3 linked regions of the Arabidopsis thaliana genome follow. The protein of the gene in region 2 interacts with the protein of the main gene of each other region in a pairwise test. Each region holds a gene or a part of one and is shown on either strand. Other genes may lie near its edges.

What was found. The genes of interacting proteins can lie anywhere in the genome.
Region 1: the proteins of AT5G50915 (region 2) and AT3G16160 interact in a two-hybrid assay, tested with the Arabidopsis thaliana proteins (one large-scale study listed by BioGRID).
Region 3: the proteins of AT5G50915 (region 2) and CZF1 interact in a two-hybrid assay, tested with the Arabidopsis thaliana proteins (one large-scale study listed by BioGRID).

The regions. Positions count from the first base shown.
Region 1 is NC_003074.8:5,472,169-5,477,563, reverse strand, and holds AT3G16160 (Tesmin/TSO1-like CXC domain-containing protein), read left to right. Parts: upstream 1-2,216; 5' UTR 2,217-2,473; coding exon 2,474-2,610; intron 2,611-2,717; coding exon 2,718-2,813; intron 2,814-2,950; coding exon 2,951-3,119; intron 3,120-3,226; coding exon 3,227-3,457; intron 3,458-3,544; coding exon 3,545-3,642; intron 3,643-3,731; coding exon 3,732-3,835; intron 3,836-3,926; coding exon 3,927-4,198; downstream 4,199-5,395. Other genes in the region: AAE13 (AMP-dependent synthetase and ligase family protein), read right to left, coding at 1-6, 133-304, 626-811, 925-1,094, 1,340-1,511; ASPGB1 (N-terminal nucleophile aminohydrolases (Ntn hydrolases) superfamily protein), read right to left, coding at 4,531-5,025, 5,125-5,211, 5,300-5,395. UniProt on the Arabidopsis thaliana protein: Plays a role in development of both male and female reproductive tissues.
Region 2 is NC_003076.8:20,708,901-20,714,547, reverse strand, and holds AT5G50915 (basic helix-loop-helix (bHLH) DNA-binding superfamily protein), read left to right. Parts: upstream 1-2,083; 5' UTR 2,084-2,295; coding exon 2,296-2,625; intron 2,626-2,720; coding exon 2,721-2,846; intron 2,847-2,955; coding exon 2,956-3,021; intron 3,022-3,130; coding exon 3,131-3,199; intron 3,200-3,290; coding exon 3,291-3,374; intron 3,375-3,480; coding exon 3,481-3,591; coding exon of another isoform or gene 3,592-3,612; exon of another isoform or gene 3,613-3,709; coding exon 3,710-3,784; 3' UTR 3,785-3,823; exon of another isoform or gene 3,824-3,957; 3' UTR 3,958-4,445; downstream 4,446-5,647. Other genes in the region: AT5G50910 (uncharacterized protein), read left to right, coding at 5,266-5,487.
Region 3 is NC_003071.7:16,769,820-16,775,931, forward strand, and holds CZF1 (zinc finger (CCCH-type) family protein), read left to right. Parts: upstream 1-2,177; 5' UTR 2,178-2,434; intron 2,435-2,709; 5' UTR 2,710-2,717; coding exon 2,718-4,511; 3' UTR 4,512-4,915; downstream 4,916-6,112. Other genes in the region: TBL28 (TRICHOME BIREFRINGENCE-LIKE 28), read left to right, coding at 5,692-6,068. UniProt on the Arabidopsis thaliana protein: Involved in salt stress response. May positively modulate plant tolerance to salt stress.

The DNA.
Region 1 (5,395 bases), on a different chromosome or scaffold from region 2:
GATCATCTGCACAAATAAAGGCTGAAGTGATGCAGAAAATCCAGACCAATAATTGCTTGAGGTAAGGTGGCAAAAATTAAAAGAGCAGCCTTCATTATAAGTTCACCATCTCAAGTATATTCAAAAACTTACCTAGAAACTTTCCTTCTGCTTCAAAACTGTCATCCTGAAACTGATTGCAAGCAACAGTTTCCGAAGTTGAGTTAACAACAGGAGGAATAAGATGAAATCGAGCACCACTCTTTGCTGCGATGGTTTTCATAGTTTCACTATGGTCCTCTGTGCTCAATAACAGAGATATATCCTAGAAACCGAAGACAACGAGGTTAGATCCCAAGAAAATGTTAATCATTTTTTCTCGAGAGTAAAAAGAGCATAAGGCACACTTATTTTGTGAAACTTGAATGTGGTAGAAAACAGAGCAAACCAGAAAACTTCTGCCTTTTAGAATATTTTCTACTTTGTTCTACAGAGTACCCTTTTTAGTCTATGGAAAAAGACCTAATGCTAGAAAAACCAAGAGCTTGGATCAAAATTCTGAGATCACAAAAATAAGATCAAGAATACCTAACAATTGAGCCGAAATTAAAGCACAAGGAAATAGGAAGGCAAGTAGATTCCATACCGAATCATTCATGACATGTAAGAGTTCAGCCTCAGGATAGCTGAGTGCAAGTGGAACCGCTACACCACCGCTAAACCATGTCCCCAGGACTCCTGCAACAAACTCAGCTGAAGGTTTTGCCACAATTCCGATTCTAGCTCCTTTTAGACTACCAAACCCTTCATACTTCTTAGTTTCTTGACCTCCCTACGAAATTTATAGAAGACAAAAAAAGTCAATAACCATAAAGCTGTAAACAAACTGTGTGATAGCTTCAAGTAGTAGATATAGTAGCTACAATTTCAAACCAAAAACCATACATTTGTCGTATCATCTTTTAAGAACAATTTAGATATCCTCAAAGCAGACGATGTTAGCTGGCCATAAGAGTAACTCTTTCCATCGGCTTTAATCGCAATCCTATCACAAGAATTAGACGCTTCTGAAAAAGCTGCTTTAAACACTTCCATGAGTGAACCAGACTGTGAAGCTGCAACATTTTGATTACATAGATAAAATTCAGATTAATATATAGAAACTACATGTACAAAAAAAGAACAGATTGAGTTCCTTGGAGATGCTGCAAAATTTTCAATATAAATTCAGATCAAAACAACAACTTGTTCAGGTTTTTACGGATCATCAATGTTACTATATGGAAAGCACGAATCTTTAAGACATTTCGTCGAACATGTAACATGCAAAAACCAAACAAAGGTAAAGAAGAAAACTTACAGAAGAGATGGTTAGATTGGAAGAATCGAAACCCAGAATTGGAAAACGAAGTAGAAGCTGGGTGGGATCGAGGAAGAAGAGGAGAGGAGAGAATAGCGTAGGAGTTGTGGTTGAGTCGATGGTTAATTAAAGACAAGTAGTTGAAACTCTTTAATGTTGTCGTAGCGGTCATTTTTAGGTCTGGTTCGTTAAAAGGTTTCGACTTTTTTCGCAAGTCGTACAGTCAAATTACGTAGCCGTTCTTCTTAGGTGGTGGTTGCAATCGCCAAAAGAGAGCCTTCGTGTCGATCATGAAATAGCGACTGAAGCGTTTGGCGACTTTGATTCAGTGGAGAGTTTGGCACGTGGCGTGTTTTGATGATTAAAAGTGAGTGACAGGCGATAATGGGTTATTCTTTAATGACGCTTTATTAGGCATTTTTTTAAGGTTAATTACTGATTTGCTTTTTCTCATTTATTTGTGTTGTGAATTTCTTTCTAAGTATATTTACACAAAATTAAAGACCATCTGAATATTGCATTTTGAGTGATGTGATCCTGACCGTTGATGAATAACAATTGTGGTTAGCTAACATCTTATACATATGCTTTGATATGCATTGATTTTATTATTGTGAAGTTTTGAACTCTAGAGGAAGATTCTATTTAATGCCAACATGCAATTAATAACTTTTTTTTTATCAGTACCTTTTAAAGGGAGTGTACATCTTAGGTCTCCGGTTTGAGCATTGGAGAAGACTAATTTTGTTATATTAAATTATTAATCATGAAATTAGATTTCTTTAATCCAACTCCATCTTCGTCATCAACACATCATCATTCCCTCCAAGATCACTCTCTCTCGCTTTTGAATACCTTCGCGTTGTTCACAGAACCTTTTTGTTTCTTAGAAAACCCCTTGGAGCTGGCCAAAAAAAAAATCGAGAGAGAGACAATCATTCATCGTTCCGAATTAGGATCCAGCATTCCATTTTTGTTCTGATATCTGTCAGCCATGGCGACTCTCCGATACACTGATCTGATCTGATCTATGAATCGACGCTTCTCTGAGGATTCCTCACCGTTCATGCTCTAATCGGTTCGCCAAATTGAGGAACTAACTTGTGTGGCGACTATAATGTGTCAAGGACCGATATGACAGGAAACGCAGATTCCGGCAAAATCGCGACAGAGAAAGACCCTAGGAAGCTCGTTTTCACCAAATTGGAGGTATCTCCCGTCTTCCGAGAATCTCCTGTTAAAGAACTTCCTCTTTTTCCTCCGATTTCTCGGTATTGTTCCAGTTTCTCTGCCAATTTTCACTAGAGATGCTTCTCGTTTGAGTAATTTCAATCCAAAATCTACTCTCTGATCTCCACTGGTCTTGATTTTGAAGCAGAGAGCATTCAGAAGCAAAGGATAAGACAGATGAAGAAGGCATTACTTCGAGGAAACACAAAGGATGTCGATGCAAGCAGTCCAAATGTTTAAAGTTGTAAGTTCATTTCAGGATCCAAGAATTACTTAGTGTTAAGCTGATAGAGATTTGAGTATAATGTTGAATAGTGAGATTTCTATTATCTGCTGTAGATTGATGCATTATTGGATATTTGTTTGACGCTTGGTTATTAGGTACTGTGACTGTTTTGCATCAGGAGTGGTATGTACAGACTGTGATTGTGTTGATTGTCATAACAACTCTGAGAAATGTGATGCTAGAGAAGCAGCTATGGTGAATGTACTAGGTCGCAACCCAAATGCCTTCAGTGAAAAGGCTTTAGGTAGCCTAACTGATAATCAGGTATGTTCTTGACACCTATCACTTTTGTAGGTTAAGCTTCAAAGAGGTATATTTCACATCCTTTTTCATTTGTAAGTATCTGGGATGTTCTGTGTTTTGTATTGTAGTGTAAGGCTGCACCTGATACTAAACCTGGACTGCTTTCGAGAGGCTGCAAATGTAAAAGAACCAGGTGTTTGAAGAAGTACTGTGAGTGCTTTCAGGCTAATCTTCTGTGCTCAGACAACTGTAAATGCATCAACTGCAAGAATGTTAGTGAAGCGTTCCAGCCTCCTGCATTTTCTGCTCACAATTCCCCACAAGTATACCGGAGGAGAAGAGACCGAGAGCTAACTGAGGCAAGTGAAATATACTACTTGCTTCATAACATATATGCACTTTTGGGTTTATCTCCATAAAACTCATTTTTCTGTCCGGAATAGCAGTGGAATTCTTGTCCAGCTCCGTTATTTTCGATACCTGACAATTCCATTCAAAATGCTCTGGGTTCCCCTATGTCTTGCTCTCCTAAACTTCCTTACAGGTTCGATTTTGCATTTCCTAAAATGATAGTTCATCTTCCTTCACCTCATAATCATAAATATTTTAACTGAATTTTCATTGTGCTACTAGAAAGAAAAGGTCCCTCATGGGATACACCTCTACACTTCTTCCGGACTTGGGAGATTTATGCTCACTTCTCGTTGCAGCGTCAGAATCTGCTACAACAACTGCAGGTATATCTGTAGTCTCTTACAAAATCTACACTTTACTGGATCTACTATTCCTTTGGCTTCATCAACATACTTCCTTTAAAATCTCACTTAGAGGACCAGAACAGGATATTTACAAAGCCTGATGATAAGGAAGCCATTGAGCTGTCAAGTGAGTCTGAGAGTCGTAATGTGGAAGAAGAAATACAATCACGTGGAAGATTGATCGAACTGATAGATGTTCAATACAATGGAGAAGAGGATTCCCAATGTAAGACCAAGACAAGTGTCAATGAAACAGATATATACATGGAGCAGGAAAGGGCAGTGCTTGAAACTTTCAGAGACTGTCTCCAAAAGTTCATCAAATCGAGACTGGAATCATAACAGGTAATAATTCCATCTCATTTTGATAATCCCTCCATCCTCAAATAAATCCAATTACTGCACTTTTTTGTTGCTATTTATGACAGGTAAGGTTCATACAAGAAACAGAGAGCTGAACCATAGTTTCTTGATTAGGCATGGAGCTGAGACAGATCAACAATTTTAAACACGAACTAACCATTTGAAACCGCATTAAACACAAATCAATATAGGACTGGTGATAACGACATAACTAAATTTACTCCTCCAGCTTTATGATAATGAATAACCAAATTAATAGAGCGATGACTGATTAAATACTAGTAAGACATTTTCTTAATCTAAAATATTTCTCACTCCCAAATAGCAACCTCCATGAATCCATCCTCAGTTGCACATCCCCTGAACATCCCATTAGAGTTAAAACCACAAACCACCTCTCCTTTATTCGAGACAGCAATGAGTCCAGCGAACCCTTCGTCAAGTCGATGCTTGATGACGTAATCAACCGCTTCTTGGAGGTTAAGTCCTTTATACTCCATAACAGCTGACACATCACGAGCTAGGGTTGCTCTTATAATGGCTTCTCCTTCTCCGGTACACGACACACCACAAAACTCCGACGCATACGTCCCGGCTCCTATCAGCGGCGAGTCACCAATCCTTCCCATCATCTTGTTCATTAAACCACCCGTGGATGTCCCGGCGGCACAATGTCCTTTCCCGTCAACCACAACGCACCCGACTGTCTCCGGTGCGTAAATGCTGATCGGAAGACCGTTCATTTGGATTGGACTGTCGGTCGCAGCTGCACCGGCACATCCCATCGGCGGAATCCGGTAATCAAACTGGTGAGAAAGCAAAAAAAAAGAAAAAGTTGAGGATACAAAATAAAGAAAAACGTACGATGAATAAATGGACGGTGGAGATTTAAGTCAAAAACGTACCAAGATGGAGTTAGCTTCCTTGGCCAACTTGAGCATTCCTACGTTGTCGTCCGTGACAAAGTACTCGTTGTCCACAATTTCAACTCCCTTCTCATTAAACCGGCTTCGGTCAGAAGATTTATCTAACCAAGTGGTTTAGAATAAAAAGTGGAAGGGTAAAATAGTAAATAAACACCTGTTTGCGGGCGAAATCCTCTGCACCTGAGAAAGCAAGGTAAGAGTGGGGAGATTTGTCCATGACGAGACGAGCAAGAGATATAGGATTTTTCAC
Region 2 (5,647 bases):
ATGCAACATATTTGAATAACAAATATAATGAGATTAAGCTAAATAAACGAAGTGATTAATAGAGATCTATAACAGTTATGAGATCAACCTAACTTACTTCATATATCTTACAATCGTCACATAATTCACTAGACTTATCGGCCAGAAAACGCCGTAAAATGGAAGTTGTTTCTTTGCATTTGTAAGTAATGTTTTGGGATATAGGATGGTAGAAGAAAACTTTGAGTCAATTTCTTAGAGTGAAGTAATGTACCTAATCTATCTCGTAATTCAAGATTCATTTTCATATCATCCTTTCGTAATTAGTCTCGTGCACTTATTCTTTTCTTTAAATGTGATCTTGAATATTCAAAACACAGTACAAATAATAGATCAGCCGCTAATTAAATGCGTTAGATAAAGAATAAAGGTTTTGTGCAAGTACCCTGATTTGAAAAGAAGCAAAAGAGAGATATTGGTGAAGAAAATATGATGCCAATAAATGTTTATTCCTCATCCGGATGAAACGTGCATAATCTCTATCATCTTCGGGTTATGATAATTAATTACAAGCTCATGCGGACCTTTGACATGTAAATTATGTCCAAAAGAACAATCATAATGTTTTCTTGGTTCCTAATTAGCATGTTTTCTTTCTGCTCTAAACTTGATCTCAAAAAGAAAATCATAATAGAAAGTCCATAGATCGTATTCGTACGTATACAATTGATAATTAATTAATCGTAGATTCGCTTAATGTTTTTGTTAAGTACGTGTCATAATAATAATTTATAAATAGAAGAAAGGAATTATAATAGTCTAAATAATTAAGGACATGGATTGTGATAAATTTTGATGGTCAAGTACTCGTTTTTTCGATTATTACTATAAGAGTACCCGATTATATCAAAACAAAATGGAGATTTATGATTTTTTGTCTTCTATGCATACCCAACGGTATCATGGGATTGGACTTCACACCTTATTCACAATTTTTTTTCTTTTGTCCTTTTCTGAAAAGGAAATTTCCTATGTCGATCCAAAGTGGGAAATGGACAAAAGTTTTTATTTTCTCTAACAAAAATGGACAAAAGTTTGTAGTATTATGGTATCCACATAGAGATTATTATTGAGAAGATCACGCGGCATTACATATTTAGTTCTAAATGTACAGTATTTTGGATAGGGTAATATATCTCTCTACTATCTAGTCTTTAATTATATCTGACTCGTTAAACTGTGCCTATATATTGATCTATATATTAGCTGTGGCAAAGGTTCTGCAATCTGATAAAGTAAAATTGATTGATAAATGATAAATATTGCTCTTTTGGTGTACATTAACTTTTTTGATATGTGTATTATAGGTCCGACCCTCTTATAAAGTAAAACAAGCCATAGCTTTAGGGCATTTCTAAATATAGTTCGTTGTTAGGGCGACAATATTGAATGCTTACGTGAGTGTAGTTGATGGTCAATACAAATACATCAATTGGTTTTAGAGAACATTTTCCTCGAGTTCGACTGCCCACGTTGGTCGTTCTTTCGTTCATTTAATGGGTTTAGTTGATTACTTCTTTTTATAGTACATTTATTGTTTTCACGTTATGCGCTATTATATTCTTATAAAAAAAGTCTTAATTAAATGATATATTGATCAGTATTTGTCTTGTTTAGTTTTACAACATGGTTGTATTACAAATTATGTAGTATTTATAATCTTATATTTCAAAACATAATTTATTCTCTAAATAACATAAAACTATGGAGAATACAAATTACAACAAAATTTAAAATTATAAGTTCTTACATAAAGTAATTTGAAACAAATTTTCTAAAATATCATGATACCCATAGAGTAATAAAACTAAACAAAATAAATAGACAAATATTCCATGAGTTTGCATTTGAAAAAAAAAAAAAAAGAGAACATACGTATCTAAGAATGATGAAAGATCATTAGTCACCTAATTTTTGAAATTCAACATTATTTACTTAAATTTTCATTTTTACTCTTCCATGGTTACTCAATGCAATTACTTAAATATACAATCTCGATATTATATATAAACATATCATCTAACATAAATTACCCGCCGAAATATGGTAGTAATTTCTTCTCAAATAAAAAGGTATCTTCAATATACAAGTGGTCCCTAAAATACTCTTTCTTCTGTTTCTCCTTGTTTCTTTGAATAGTGAATACAAAAGCAATTCCTTATATAAACCACTTCAAGTCCTTAATCTTCTCTCACAAAGAAAAAACACTATCTCTATCGACAAAGATAAGAGAACTCAGAAGCTTCTACTCTTAAAATGGCAACTTTCTCTTATTTCCAAAACTACCCTCATTCCCTTCTTGATCCTCTTCTCTTCCCTACACCTCACTCCTCCATTAATCTCACTAGTTTCATCGATCAAAACCATCTCTATCCACTACCAAACATTTCCACAGTTGAAGACATTTCCTTTCTTGAATATAATGTTGACAAAACTGAAAACTCTGGTTCAGAGAAACTGGCCAACACAACCAAAACAGCAACCACCGGTTCTTCTTCCTGCGACCAGCTCAGCCACGGACCATCAGCCATCACCAACACCGGAAAAACCCGTGGGAGGAAGGCCAGAAACAGTAATAACTCCAAGGTATGTTAAACCAACTTGTAATGTATCATCTATCATTTATGTGATGGGGTTGGGATAGTCAAAAACATAAATGTTGGTGTGGTTTGGTGAATTAGGAAGGAGTAGAGGGAAGAAAAAGCAAAAAACAGAAGAGAGGAAGCAAAGAAGAGCCTCCAACAGATTACATTCACGTTCGAGCTAGAAGAGGCCAAGCTACTGATAGCCACAGCCTTGCTGAGAGGGTATTTTAGTCATTTCTCTTAACATTTTAATTTTTCTTCATTAATCATGTTTTCATAAAATACATTTTGATTAATATTTGATTAAACTTATATATATATATATGTAAAGGTGAGAAGGGAAAAGATAAGTGAGCGGATGAGGACTCTGCAAAACCTTGTTCCGGGCTGTGATAAGGTCAGCTAGAGTAGAGACAATTTTATTTAGGAGAATTGATAATGGTTTAATTTTATAATGTTTCTAGAAAATGTTATTAATTGATTAAATGTGACTTGAAAACGAATAGGTAACAGGGAAGGCCCTCATGTTGGATGAGATTATAAATTATGTCCAGACCTTGCAGACTCAAGTTGAGGTGCATTTTCTTAATTATTTTGTTTTTTCTTGTAACATTTTATGTTAAAACTAATGTTTCTAATTCATAACTTTTTTTTCTGTTTCATTAGTTTCTCTCAATGAAGCTAACTTCTATAAGTCCGGTGGTCTATGACTTTGGCTCCGACCTTGATGGCCTCATACTTCAATCTGAGGTATTTCATTTACACAATGTCTCTTAATCCGGTTACCGATAAAACCAAGTCATGTATCCCGAAAAGCCGGTTATGGATCTTAAGTAGATATTTTCTTGATGGACAGATGGGTTCTCCAGAAGTAGGAACGTCTTTTACCAATGCAATGCCAACAACTACTCCTATCTTTCCTTCACTATTGGATAATTCTGTAGTTCCCACACATGCACAAGTTCAGGTTTTTCATTTTTTTCTATAAGTGATTATTTCAGATAATAATTATAATAAGGAGAATGAAGATAGATAAGAATCAATTATTGGAAGATTAATAGATAGTGATGTGTTGCTTAATTTAGGAAGAGGGAGAAGAAAGAGAGAACTTTGTAGACAGAAGTGGGTTCAACAACAACAACTTCTGTTCTTTCCCTTGATAAAATTACATGTCGACACAAACACAAAAGCCTGCTTTCGTGAGTTTCTTCTGGTCTTGTCTCTTCAACTACCTAATTATTATCATTACAATTATTTTTAACATTTCTCATATAGAAATTGTTAAAAATCTTGATGTGGGTTCGTAATTATTGCTATCGTTTATTGGATGTAGGTTGATTTAATCTCCTCCCATTTGCACGGAGGGAATAAAATCTACGTAAACCAGGTTTTGTAAAAGTGGATGTACTTATTTGTTCCGTTTATATAGTTTGAAGAAATAAAGTATTTTAGAGACTTAAAAAGCTCATTTTCTCTATTTGTCCCGAGAGTTTCAACATAATCATTACATAAAATCAATGGATAAATTCATACTAAAAGAGAATGGTATATGAGGCAGAGGCAAATTCGATGGAGGAAAGAAAGACATATAAACTAAGAAGACCTATCAGCTTAATCATTGTTTTTTTTAATATAATTGAATTTTGATGTATCCACTCATTAATTTTATAAGTTCTTGTATTTTCACCACTTCTGTCTTTCTGATTTCTTGCACCAAAGTTTCCTTTTTCCTCCAATCTTTTTAAATGTAAACTGTTATCCACACACTCATGTTATATTTCCTATATATATAAAAATGTTCGAGGGATAACTACTTATGCATGTATATAAATCTAAATGATTCGTTTCCTGTCAATTTAGTTGGCTACAAAATTATGTCAGAAGAAAAGATTAGATTTCCCTTCCTGAGAACACTTTAATGTACCTGTTGAATAGTTTGGTCATGCTTTTCTGCTCTCACTTGTCACACATTGATAACTCCCATTCCTCTGTATCTGTCCTTTCACAATACATATGTTATAAGTTTTATTTTAGTTTAGAGTATGTCTAATATATATATACCAAAATTCTTGAAAGAGATATTTGATACTGTTGTATTTGTAAATATGATTTGTTGGTTGTCTAACATTTTCATGAGGTGGTAATTAACGATTCCTTGAGTTATTCAATCCTAAATTGCAGGATTTATTTGAATACACCTAAATAAATTATATGCAAGAGCCTTATGTATATTATCGTTATTCAGTTACATACATATTAATAACCTCTTTTATTAACGAACCTAGAATAGAGATTTTTTTGTATGATTTTCATTTCTTGATGTATATGTCAGGATGTATATGATTTGTGAGATTACTCTTCACAATTCAACAATTTGAGATTTTAGTTAAATAAGTAAAATTTAATTGATATCATCTCTTCTAAGATTTGTTATTGGACTATGGTTCAAAATTTTCACTTTTTCCCTTTTTTATTATTATAAATATGATATGTTGCTAGATGAATTGGGTCATCATTTTCTTGCAATTGTTTCGTCATGAATACGATTTTTTTTTTTTTTTTTAATCGAAAATGCATATGAATTTGGTCCCAAGTTATTATACGGCAAATTGATCAATCATAAAATACAATAACAAAGGAAATGCTAAGTTTCTCGTGGCACATAATTGTATCTGCTAACGGTTTCATCCTGAATCAATGGACAACACATTTCGTAAATCTTATGCACATCATTTCACCTCATATGTTTATTTCAAAGTATACCTCTTATAACTTTAACTGTGCGTTTCGATTCTTCGCATCATCAAACCTATCAAAATCAAACCCTAAATATCTGATGACACGTTTTATGCGAGAACGATTGGTAAGTTAACCGAAGGGTCCACGATTCAATTTGATAACACGCCTAGGTGAGAAAAAATGTTGTACATTATTACACAACTAATACAGCCAAAAAAAAAAAAAAAGCAACAATTCGAAGGCATGATTAAATGAGCAGTCCGGCCGTTAGTCGTCCAGAGATT
Region 3 (6,112 bases), on a different chromosome or scaffold from region 2:
CTCGACTTACCCAGAAACATGATGACACTTTTCTTTTGGTAAACATGATGTCACGAAAAAAAATTACACACATAATCTATAGATAGTTAGAGGATGTGTTAGAATTCACATATCAGTTTAATTGGTAGTATATGATTTATATGCTGATTATGATTGAAAACTATCAGCCTGTTTTAAGGTAATTATGAGTTATGATGGGTACTTATGAGTTTGACCATATATAGGATTAGGTTGTTAAAATGCATACATACAGGTTATGTGTATGTTTATGTTTATATTTTCATATAAACAACAACAAGTACACTTTCTTGTAATTTAGTGATTTAGATTTCTTAATCAATTTGTGTTTTTTTTTAATTGTGGAGTAGTATGAATTGAGTTCACAAAATAGCAAATTTGTGACTACGAAAACTCCACGGAAGATATATAGAAGAATCGAAGAAAAGTAGAGAATAATGAGGAGTAAGTCAAATGATCAAATCCACGGACTAATCCATTATGTTTGATGTGACGAGAGAAAAATAAGTGAATATTTAATACTATATACTATAGTATATTTTTGCAAAAGTTAAAGGTGTTGCATTAATTTTTTGATAGCAAACAATTAAGGAAATGGGGGAAAAAGTGTAAGCGGGCGGCCAAGTGAAGACATTCTCTGTCGCCCACCCAAACACCAAAGAAGAGAAGGCGTGCCTCACTTTCCCTCTTTCTCCACGCACTTCTCCTTGCCCGTGTTTCTCACTCGCTTTACCCTAATCACTCCATTACAACTATACCTACAAGACCATTAAGATAAGCTTATCAATAAGAACACTGAGATAAAGTTGATCTCTATTTACGAATTGTTTACTACCAATAGATTTTGATTCGTACCAATCTTTTAAAGTATGTATGTATTGTTTGAATAGTAGTTCTACCGAACCAAAAATATTTTAATTGATCATGTAAAATATATTTAAGATTGTTGTGTGTTAATTATAGTGATCTTTAGAAAAAAGAGTAGCCAACGTGATAATGAAAGCGCGTGTTAAGAGTATTGAAACACTCACACGCTTGTGGAGGTTACCTGCTAAGTCGGTCGATTTGATCGATGGTGGGTCTTTTACACATCCCCAACGTCATTTACCATTTATTCAACCTCATATATTATGTTCTTGATGATGAAAAAGAACATAATATTTTTTTTTTTTTTTTTTTTTAATTTTTTTTTGATGATGATGAAAAAAAAAAATATTATGTTCTTTTTTAATTTCTTTTTAATATTTTTGACAGTAATTTTATTTTAATCTTATTTTGTTACAAATAGTTTTTAATACCTTAGGACCTGTTGGAACTTGGAAAAAAACAATATTTTTTAATATCTCAGGATCTTTGCCCATACATGTTTTGGGCACCCATGCGTTTATATGAAAAACAGCATGCAGATGTAAAATATAAACAACTGTAGATTTGGTCAGATGTTAAAATTTAAATTATGTCTTTTGAAATGTGACCTATAATTGTCCAGATAGATATACATAACTATTTAGTAATTGTAAGTCTATTTCCTGTAATGTATTCAGCTAAATGCATGTAGATAATCTGATATCACATACATCTATAGCCATATAGAGAATGCATAGTAACATCAACAACATATAAATTTTGGGCTATTTTCTAATGAGGGTTTTTGAGTATAAATGGATCTCCTAAAACGAGTTTACCGGATGGGTAAGGTAGTAGTTCCCTTTGAGTTTTCTTTCTGCTTTGTATAATTAAAACAAAGTAATTGATTAGGAACTTAGTAGGTCCTAAAGAGAACCAACAATGGTTTCGGTTATAAATAAACCAAATGGGTACATTATCCTTATATCTAGAAACTTTAACCAAAAACAAGATGTTATCTAGAAACAATAAATACATCCGGAATGAGACTTTTTCTTATGTAAGTCGATACAATGGGGGCATTGTTTTATTTCCCTTCAAATGAACTTTGCTTTTTGATCATTTTAAAAAGCCATATTGAAAAAATCAATGAGATAGGAAGATAGATATTATAATATTCTTTTTATAAAAAAGACAAAAAAAATACACTAAAACAATTGAATAAGAGTCAGCAAAACAACGACGTCCTTACCTTTTTTAAAAGTTTCCCAGTTTTGACTTTTGACCTAAACCATTTCCATGTAGAAAGAGAGCAAAAAACAAAACAAAACAAAGATAAGTAAAAAATAAAAATGATATAAAGAAGGAAGAAGAAGACCGAGAAAGGTAGACGAAAGAAAGAGCGTACCTTCCTCTTTCCTTCTTCGTAAAAACCAAGTTCCTTTTAAAAGGAGCCTCTCCTTTCTCATTTGATCCTTCTTCAAAAACCCCAACCACTTCTTCTCCCCAAAAACCTCCAAAGTTTCAATCTTTACTTCTCTCTTTTTCTCCAAGTTATCTTCTTTTCTAGGTATGTCTTGATTCTTTCTCTCTCTGTTTTTTCCTATTTCATTCAGGATTCTGGGTTTGGTTAAATCTTTAATCTTTATGGTTTTAATGGCTTGATTTTGACGAAACGGTCGTGTAATTATTCATTACTTTGCTTAAATTGGGGATTGATTTTGTGTATAAAGAAGAATCTTGAAAATGAAAAATTGAAACTTTGAATCGAAAGAACTCAATTTGCGTTGCTCTTTCTCATTCTTTGTTGCTTTCTCCTAAAAGTTTTTCACTTTTGAATCACAGGAAGAGATATGTGCGGTGCAAAGAGCAACCTTTGCTCATCTAAAACCCTAACAGAAGTCGAATTCATGAGGCAGAAATCAGAAGACGGAGCTTCCGCCACGTGTCTCCTCGAATTCGCCGCCTGTGATGATCTTTCATCGTTTAAGAGAGAGATCGAAGAGAATCCATCGGTGGAGATTGATGAGTCAGGGTTTTGGTATTGCAGACGGGTCGGGTCTAAGAAGATGGGTTTTGAAGAAAGAACACCACTTATGGTTGCTGCTATGTATGGAAGCATGGAAGTGTTGAATTACATAATTGCCACAGGAAGATCCGATGTGAACAGAGTTTGCAGTGACGAGAAAGTCACTGCTCTTCACTGTGCAGTTTCTGGCTGTTCTGTTTCTATCGTTGAGATCATCAAGATCTTGCTTGATGCTTCTGCTTCACCTAATTGTGTTGACGCTAATGGGAACAAACCGGTTGATTTGTTGGCTAAAGATTCTCGGTTTGTTCCTAACCAGAGTAGAAAGGCGGTTGAGGTTTTACTGACCGGGATTCATGGTTCGGTTATGGAAGAAGAGGAGGAGGAACTGAAGAGTGTTGTGACTAAGTATCCAGCTGATGCATCACTTCCTGATATTAACGAAGGTGTTTATGGAACTGATGATTTTAGGATGTTTAGCTTTAAGGTTAAGCCATGTTCTAGGGCTTATTCACATGATTGGACTGAATGTCCTTTTGTTCATCCTGGTGAGAATGCAAGGAGGAGAGATCCTAGGAAGTATCCTTACACTTGTGTGCCTTGTCCCGAGTTTCGTAAAGGGTCTTGTCCTAAAGGAGATTCGTGTGAGTACGCGCACGGTGTTTTCGAGTCTTGGCTTCACCCGGCGCAGTATAGGACACGGCTTTGCAAAGATGAGACTGGTTGTGCTAGGAGAGTTTGTTTCTTTGCTCATAGACGGGATGAGTTAAGACCGGTTAATGCTTCTACTGGTTCTGCAATGGTTTCACCAAGGTCGTCTAATCAGTCTCCTGAGATGTCTGTTATGTCTCCTTTGACGCTGGGATCATCGCCAATGAACTCTCCTATGGCTAATGGTGTTCCTTTGTCTCCAAGAAATGGTGGTTTATGGCAGAACAGAGTTAATAGCCTTACACCACCACCGTTGCAGCTTAATGGTAGCAGATTGAAGTCGACTTTGAGTGCTAGAGATATGGATATGGAGATGGAACTTAGGTTTCGCGGTTTGGATAACCGGAGACTTGGTGATCTCAAGCCATCCAACCTCGAAGAGACTTTCGGATCATATGACTCAGCTTCTGTGATGCAACTTCAATCACCAAGCAGGCATTCTCAGATGAACCACTATCCGTCTTCACCTGTGAGGCAGCCTCCTCCTCATGGATTCGAATCTTCAGCAGCCATGGCAGCTGCAGTGATGAATGCAAGATCCTCAGCGTTTGCGAAACGCAGCTTGAGTTTCAAACCAGCTCCAGTAGCTTCTAATGTCTCCGATTGGGGATCACCAAATGGGAAGCTTGAGTGGGGAATGCAAAGAGATGAGCTGAACAAGTTGAGGAGAAGTGCCTCCTTCGGCATTCATGGAAACAACAACAACAGTGTGTCACGCCCTGCTAGAGACTACAGTGACGAGCCAGATGTGTCGTGGGTGAACTCACTGGTGAAAGAGAATGCACCAGAGAGAGTGAATGAGAGGGTTGGGAATACGGTGAATGGTGCAGCGAGTAGAGACAAGTTTAAGCTGCCGTCGTGGGCAGAGCAAATGTATATAGACCATGAGCAGCAGATTGTGGCATAAGAAGCAGAAAGAAAGATGTGGGATTTATATTGCTTTTGTCTTCTGGGCCTCTCTACACAGAATCTAACAAATCTGGCAATAATTCTTTGATTTGTGTTTGACCCATAGTTTGGTTACTAGTATATGTTTTTTTATGTTCTTTTTTTCTTTGTCATTCTCTTGTCCTTCGTGACACTATGTAATGATTAAAAGCAAATAATTGATGCATGAGTTCAAATGTTCTTTGAAGGATCCATCTTATTAGCTTTGTAATTGTTGTGATATCTTAATCTTATTGGTTACGTATTTCAAGTGCTTTAGAAAAAATGGGCCTAAGAGATTTTGGGGAGCTTTTTTGGCTTGTTATTTTCCTCACATATACAACTTGCAGCTTATTATTTATTGAAAATCTTTTCTTATCTAGATTCAAAAAGATTTCCACAAATTTTAATTAACGACCCCTGATTACAAAGAAACCTACCCAAAGTCAAATTTTGTCCATAATTTCTATCGTGTAGGACACTAAAAAGTAAAAACTCATACCTAATTGGTTTCTAGTAGAAACGGTCAGTGCACTATCTTTCTTTCAGGTTATCGAAGGAAAAAAGATCAGTAGAGTAGCATCGTTAATAGTAGAGTTAAGAAAAGCATGTAACATGTGGTCTACTTTTTATTTCACAGAAAAATACCATACCATGTGATAATGTCGCATAAAATCTTTACTTTTCCGGTGTTATCGATGTGTGTTAATGCTAAATACCCGAAACAATTTCAAGACTCAATTTTGAACTATCGAATAGAATTCTTCTAAAATGGATGAGGAAAAAGTCGCTGGTTTAAGTCGTGCGACCCTCAAAATAAAGTTAGGAATATAATCACAAGCTGCATACTTTCATTAATCAATTTAAAAAGAAACGACTAACTTTATTCTTTCTTTGCCAAACTCCATAATTAGTTAAGTCTATGAATGAATGTGAAGAGAGAGTTTTACATTTAAAATTGTAAAGGGCAAATTATAGAAAATTCTGTGTCCACCAATTAGGCTTGGCTCTTTAACTCACTGTTCTCAATCTTTAATAATCCCCATCTTCTTTTCTCCTATATGATTATCTCTCTTTCCTTCGTGCGTGTTATCTCTCTGAGCCACATGCCGACACTTACATAACTGTTGACCAAGTCTCTCTTCCTTCTTTATCAAATCATGCAACCTTCAAGAACAAGAGTTTCATTTTTTGAAACAGGAGAGACCATGAAGCAAAGAAAGAAGAGTTATCTCTCAATCTTCGTGATCTTCTTCTCTCTTTTCTTCTTCGGGATCTTCATGTACAATGACAACCTCAAATCCTCCATTGCTGACTTCACATCTTCGAACCCATTCTCTAGTTCATTTGTGGAGTTGCCGCCGGATGAGTGTGATCTGTTCACCGGTCAATGGGTTTTCGACAACAAGACATATCCATTGTATAAAGAAGAAGAGTGTGAGTTCTTGACGGAGCAAGTGACTTGTTTAAGAAACGGAAGGAAAGATTCTTTGTTTCAGAATTGGAGATGGCAACCTAGAGACTGTTCTTTACCAAAGTAAAGCTAATGTTTCAAGATGCCCTGTTTTTATCCGGTTTGAT